Linked DNA regions of Drosophila melanogaster. The protein of the gene in region 1 interacts with the protein of each later gene in a pairwise test. Each region holds a gene or a part of one and is shown in the gene's direction. Other genes may lie near its edges.

Region 1 (3,434 bases):
AACAAGGCACCAGAAAAAGGCCAAGCAACTCCCCCATATTTTTGGCCTTTTGCTGCTCGGGGCCATTGTGAGTTACCCGGAGAAAGTCAAATAACTTAGGCAAATCCGGAAAGGCCAAAAGAGTTTTGTCTCAGCTCCGCTGTCAGGATGTGGCCCCCAGCTAGTGAATCCACGTCTTAGAGGAGACTCGAGACTGCCATACGGGGATCTGCGATCGAAAAAAGCCATGTTCTGATGTTCTTCTTTGATAAATTTTAATTGTTAGTGTGGTAAAAAAAAAGGCAACCATGTACCGAAAACCTATGTAGATCTAACATATACCTATGATTTGGATAAATTCCAAAGGAAGAAGTATTACATATATTTGGGTTATTTTATTTCTTTCATACTTAATGGATCTATCTTTATATCTGTTTAAGCATTCTCCACTTATTTGCAAATGATGAACGGCTTCCGCTTTTACTTTCAGAATATGGTTGAGCTTTAAAAAAAATGTATGAAACAAATATATGATAAGAGCTGAACGCTTTACGACTGAAGCCCTTGTCCACTTAGACTATTCCCTTCACTGCATCCATGACCATGAAATTTCCAGAGATGGCTTCTCCCTGGACGAAGACAATGCAGTTAATCGGAGGAGGAAGAGCAGGATTCGGGATATCCAATGCCAGTCGTAGGGACATGTGAGCCCTCTTTTGTTGGCTGAAATTGAAAATCCTTTGTTCACCCACTAAGCGCTTTTTAATTAGATTTCAAGCACGCCTGAATAGGTGTCCTGCGAATCGGACACAAGGATCTCCCCGTAGATGCATTGCTCATGCTCATGCCTGTCGTTCAGCCTTTAATCAGATTAAAGTTTCTGGAGCGTTTTTTTAACAACTGCTTCTTAGGCCAAATAAAAATCAACAATTGTAAATCATTTGAACAAATGTCGACCACGTGATTTCCGGCGGCACGTGCTTCAGCTCCAAGGCGCCCCATCTTCCGGTTCCGCCAACAGCTGCCGAAGCAGAAATTATTGGCAAAGCGTTTAAGCGCAATAAATATGTTTGATTGCTGGCAAGTTGCCCAAAAAGATGTATATCTAAAGATAAATATATACGTAAAGCTGGACGGGAATCGCTGGCTTCCGGCATCCTGCGATCCTTTTTCACCCACACCAGCAGCTCCGAACTCAGAGCAAATTTGTAATTCATTTAAACGCGCAACTAAACCGCTTCAAGCTGTTTGCTCTGCACTTTTTAATAGTCGCAGATTGTACTCCATACTGAGATCACTGTGACAAATGTAATGTATTTTGCAAAATAAATATATAGGTATTCAAAAAAAAAATGTTCTTCATTTATCTTTATACGTAGTACATATTATATGTAAAAAAATCTTCGTTTTCTTTAATACATTTTTCAAAAATTAATATTCAGTTTAAATAAAGGGGCATGGCATTCTTTTTTTTTGCAGTGCAGTTTCAGGAAGCTGCACGGACGGAACTCCGCTGAATTATCCAGCCAGCCAAAGGGGCCACGAGCATTGCTCGACTAAATCAAACGAAAGCGCAGCTAAAACGCTTTTGTGCAATTCGATTATTTACGTTTATTCTTTTTTTAAATGATATTTCCAGTCTGGCCAGTGGGTTCGGTGGCACGAGGAGCAAGAAACCAATTATTTGCCAACGGAGCGGAGTAGCTGTTAGCCAGCCGGAGGGCAAGCAATTTGTAAGGAAATGAAGCGCAAGCAGGGGAACCGGAAAATGTGCTGCAGTTGAAAGGCGAAAGGGTAAACAAAAGATCAAATTAATAGCCGCACAGCATCGATATCGAAACCGGGTTGATTGGTGGGGGGCAAATACAGCTGTGTGTGTTGCAACATCTTGCAGTGGGCAAACATTGAAACAGGTGCCATGGCTTTGGAGCTCCAGCGGATCGGATGGGCATAGGTATAAAAAACCGGAGGTGACACCTCGAAAGCATCACAACCACTTCCGGCCTTCCACAAGCAACAGTTCGACTGCAACCAACGATATGTCAGCCAAATATACACTGATCTTTGCCCTGGCGGCTCTCTGCTGTCTGGTGTTCTCCACCGAGGCGGCGGCCCAGCGCAGCCGAGTTCTCAGCTCTCGCCGTGGCTCCGAGCTGGTCGAGAAGACGTCGGACAACAAGGAAGACTCCGAGCTGGCCGCCCAGGAGCAAGACCTGGAGCGCCAGGAGCAGGAGGAGCAGAATGACAGACTGGAGGGACGCAGCGATGATGTTGCCGAGGGCAGCGACAACAAAGAGGACAAGGAGACCGCCACCAACAACAAGGACACCATCGTGAAGCCCAACAAGGATGACGCCCGTGCCCGCCGCATCGTTCGTGCCGGTCGTCGTCGTGGTGGACGCCGCGGTGGTCGCCGTGGAGGTCGTCGTAGTGCACGCAAATCCGTGCGCCGTGGCGGACGACGAGGTGGACGCAGGCGCGGTGGACGACGTGGTCGTGGCGGTGCTCGCCGTCGCACCTCCGTGAAGAGGCGTTCCGGCAAGGGCAACAAGGCCTAAGAAGTTCCCCTCACAGATATAAGACTAACTGCCCGATCCACCGATTCGATACACACACAAATAAATTATGATTCTAACGAAATCACTCTAAATTGATTTTTTCCTTATTTATAAATTGTTATATTTAAGTATAAGTATTTTCTAAACCTAAAATTTAGACCCATCCCTTATTTTCTCTATTGACATTCATCTAAATGAAAATACTTTTGACCCATAACTTTCTGTCATAACGTTTTGCATGAATTAGTTTTTAAGGAACTTCTTCTTATAATGATATATGTACTTTCTTTAATATCAATCAACTGACTACAGCTGCCGTAGATAGTTAGTTTTAAATCGGCCTGTTTTAAAGAAGCACAGTCTAATTTTAAACAAGTCTAATGCCCTTTTCGTTAACAAATGTGTAATAATAGACATGATTAAGTTTAATATGCAGGTTTTTAAGCTTTAAAGTAGTACTTAATATGTACTCCATTACAGAAAAATCATTGTTAAAGAGCCTGTAGAAGTGCCGGCAAACTTTCAACAGCTTCTGGTTAAACATTTGCAAAGCGCAGGGCAGTGTCGGCCTGATTCGCATTCTTTGCGACGTCCCGTCGTCCTTTCGTACCATCGTCCTTTGGTCCTTTGGTCGTGTGCCATCCCTGCAGCGACGTGACATGTGACAAGAAGTTGCCGCGATGTTGCTGCAACAGCTGCTGTCGCCTGGCGGCTGAAATCCTTGGTCCTTCCTGCTCGTGCGAGCACCCGAAAAATGATGAATGTGCCAATGTTGCTGGGCTGTTGCCACATCCTCTTGGTCTTGGTCTTGGTCCTGGCCGTGCCCCTCATACACTCTGCCAAACTTCCTTGGCTTTGTGCTGCAGTCGTGGCGAAAGTTTTGCGGCCGCCGTCAAG
Region 2 (4,015 bases), on another chromosome or scaffold:
TTCCCCTATAAGTCAGGCAGCACTCAATAGCCACGTTGCATATCCTAATGCCGAAACGCGGTTTGCCCGAGAGGATCTCCTCCACTTTGGTTTGCTTTGTGCAGAATCTGTAAGGAGCAATAATGTTGTATATATTATCCACTTGTGTGATTCATGTAATACTCACCTTATGATCTGATTACTCAAATTCCGAAACAATGCAGCAATTAGCCTAGTTGTATTGTAGTATTCCGAATTCAGCCAAATGAAACGTATGAGGTGGATAATGCGAGGTAAAAGTTTCGTCAAATCCGCCGGGCTTGTGGCCGCATCGATTTTGGAGCAGGGCTCAATGAGCAGATGAAGGTACTTAATATTCGACAGAGATTTATGAAGCTCCTTTCTGGCCCTCTCAATAAGTCCATCCATTTGTGGCATGTGCACGGATTGGGCATTGTGCAAGAGTAACAAAACCTTCTGAACATCCGAATGAGCCAATTGATCATTGATTCCTTGAAGGACTTCATCTAAATAGGAGAACACCATCTTCAATTTATATATACTTTACAGGCGCAACAGTTACAAACTTACAGCGATATTCCCAGAACTCAAACTCATCCCGAACGGTGACCAGATCATGTGGAACCGTCAAAGTATCGTCTGCCAGCAAAGTTCGAATCTGTGTGGTCCAGTAGAGAGCGATGCCCTCCAGGCTGCCGACCAAGTATCTATCAACGGGCCCAGCCGTCAACTCCTTGATGACAAAGGGGACGTACATCACGGACATCCCAGAGATTTGATGGTGCATTCCGCTGAGAAATGCCAGGAATCTGTCCATGCTGGAACAGAAACGGTTACGCACCGTGGCATTCCATTCGAGATAGTTCCGGAAGAAGGGGACGTACAAGCGATCGAGTAGCTCCATCAAGCAGCCATCCACATCGCTTGTCAAGGTGCCGAAGTTAATCTCATCGTGAAATCCCTCCACGCTAAAAATCTCATTCGGTTCGCGGCGAAAGTAACTCAGATCCGAGACACACATGGAGGGCATGCCCAAGCAGGCGGCTAGGGCATCCCTGTCGTAGTAAATGGTTAGCAGGGGCTCGTGAACCTCCAGTAGCCAGCCGCGGATGATGTCCAGAGTTCCCTCCTGCCAGTCCCTGTGATCCAAGCAGCTCAACACACTCATCCGCTGAATGTAGCCCACCAGTTGGTTCAGTTCCTCGTCGCTATACGATGGCTTTGGGGTCTCCGGACGGATCTCCTCCTGACGAGGTTCCACGCTGCGCTCTGGGTTCCAGGATTAAAAGAAGTTCTAGGGGAAATAGTGACACAAACTCACCCTCATCGTCGGTTAAATCGGAATCCGTTAGATGCTCATCTTCTACAGCGCTGGAGGAGGCCATTTCACCGAGTTTTTACTCACCAAAATTACAGAAAACTTAACAAAAATCCATGGCAACCGGAAGCCGGCCTTTCCGTTACTTTTAGTTCGCGCTAAACAAGTGCTTCATTTTCTAAGTGCATTTCCGGTGGGCTTTTCAAAAACATAATGACTATTGCAGTTTAAAAATACATTTACAATGATTCTTTTTTGTCTTAAAAATGTTTATTCTAAAAATGTAGAAATGTAAAAACTCTTCTACATCATTTTACATAGCCACTATTATCTAATGTCGAACTAAAAGTATGAAATGGAATCTTAAGCGATTTTTAGGGTAGCAAGCCTTGGTCACACCAATCTGCCCGAAAACGGCGCTTTATTTAAAAACAAGAGAGAATTCTATAGTTAAGTGCATCGACTATCAGATACCCGTTACTCAGCTGAAAAATAGCAATAAAAATTTCATTCTTTTACACTAATTTAGGAACTCGGACTTAGGAATAGGATCTCAAAATATTTGTGTATACAGTTGTGGGGGCAATTTGTGTCACTTGCTTACTTAGCAGATACATTCCTAGGATTCATCTTTAAAATAATGCTAAGATGCCCGAAAGTGACTCAGTCGATGCTGGCCAGGATCAGCGTCCGCCACTTCGCAGACGAGATCCACGGCAGTGTGCGAGCGGCCTACGCAAAAGGAGACGCTCGAGCTGATCCGGTCAATGTGCTGCCCAAGTCCAAGTACGGTGGAATCAATACGGTCTCTCTGGTCACGGGCACCACCATCATTGGCCAGCAGGGAGCCCAATTCGTGTCATCCCTGCTTTCGAGCAGCCGCGTCCCTGTGGAGGTCCAAGTCATCGAAGCTGGCCAAGATGACGAGTACTTCCACTCGGTGCTCCGGAACAGAACCGCCGTTCATGTGGACAATCAGGCGGACGCGGAAGCCAAGCAGAAGGCGCTCAAGATCTGCAATGATCTGGACTTGTACGTCTTCAAGACCCGGACACGCAGCTTTCCCGGCTTCAAGTGCCGCTTTCCGGGCGTGGACATCCAGTTAATCGGTCAGAACAACATGGGTATCTTCAACGAACTGGAATATTCACCCGTGGAGGGAGTGGTGGAGGCCCTGTCCGTCGTCTCCCAAAAAGGCAATGACAAGTATCTGCGGTACGCCTTTAAGGCGGCTGCAAAGGCGGGCCGGAAACGGGTGACGCTGATCAACAAGGCCAAGGAGTGGCCCATTAGCGATGGCTCACTGGTGGAAGCCGCACAGCGCTTGCACTGCCACTACAAGGATTGCCTGGAGCTGGAGCTCATGGAGGTGGAGGAGGCCATCAGCCGGCTGATGACGGAGCCCACCTACTTCGATTGCCTCTTCGCCAGCGAACGCTATGCCACATTCCTATCCGCCATCTGCAGTGGAGTCTGTGGCGGGGCTAATCTCTTCAGTGCGGTGGAGATCGGAGATCACCATGCCGTTTTCAAACCGCTCCAGACGAAACTATCGCTGACCAATTATGCCAATCTAAGTGCATACGGCATCGTGTCCACCATTGTGGATCTCTTCCAGCATCTGGGCCACGATAAGTGCGCCGATGCACTGTGGTGCGAGCTGAAGCGCACCATGGACGAAGGCATTCGCACCAAGGAGTTCGGTGGCCAGGATACCGGCGAGTATGTCATTTGCAACATCATCAACCAGCTGCGATGCCGAGCATTGGGTAAATAAAGATCCTGCCATAAAATATATGATATTGGGGAAAAAAAACTCTCATTAAATTGTCTGTGACCATTATTTTTCCAAAATAAAAACCAACTATTTTTAGTTTTTCTCGAAATATTTTTTTATCAACACATAACAATTTATTAGCTTACAACGAACAATAATTTTAAGGAAAGTTGTCAGTAGTTGCGATATTTTTGGGAGCTCTTCAGCTAAAGTTTAAGATTAAAAGAATGATTAGATTGTAATATAAGAAACTGAAAATAAGAATAAGTCTGATGCATTGGAAAACGTATCAAAAAGTAGTAGTAGTATTTTATTTAAATTGTTCTAGTAAAACTAAAATTTTTAATAGGCTTGTCCAAATGCATCAGAAATACGTGGTGCCCGAGTATCGGAAAGTGGACTTTAGCATCCGTAACCACACCTGCTCATCCTCCGAGCGCAGCCTGCTCTCGCTCATCTTCATCTTCCAGTTTTCCGAATAGGTCACCAGCTCCACCACCGTCTTGAATGTGACACTTTTCGATGGTTTAACGCCTTTCAGGAGTTTTGCCTTCTCTTTATTGCTGGGATACTTCATGTAATCGTATTCAACCGACTGATCCGCTACCTCATCGATGATATCCTTTTTGAACTCGACCTTCTGAGTTCCTGGATGTTTGTCCAGCTTCTTGGGTTTTAGGCGCTGTTTTACTGGGCTGTCCATGTTCAGAGGGGAATTTGGTATGATTTTGTTGCTCAGCTATCAAAAATGTATCAAAACATGAATTGTACTTGCTCAAAACTCAAATTCGAAGTGCCTGCTGCGGGTGTGTGTAATATAACATGATGTCCTCCCATTTGCACGTACAATTTGAATGGATTTATGTTCCAAGCCGGAGGCTGTAAACAACTACATAAATACCGAAGCAGGACTATCCTAT

The links.
Region 2: the proteins of nur (region 1) and CG7755 interact in a two-hybrid assay, tested with the Drosophila melanogaster proteins (one large-scale study listed by BioGRID).

Annotation. Positions count from the first base shown.
Region 1 is NT_033779.5:13,734,175-13,737,608, forward strand, and holds nur (nemuri), read left to right. Parts: upstream 1-1,963; 5' UTR 1,964-2,018; coding exon 2,019-2,537; 3' UTR 2,538-2,856; downstream 2,857-3,434.
Region 2 is NT_033778.4:16,280,805-16,284,819, reverse strand, and holds CG7755 (uncharacterized protein), read left to right. Parts: upstream 1-1,873; 5' UTR 1,874-1,958; coding exon 1,959-3,095; 3' UTR 3,096-3,190; downstream 3,191-4,015. Other genes in the region: CG9068 (uncharacterized protein), read right to left, coding at 1-107, 167-506, 571-1,269, 1,322-1,385; CG15705 (uncharacterized protein), read right to left, coding at 3,269-3,301, 3,517-3,798.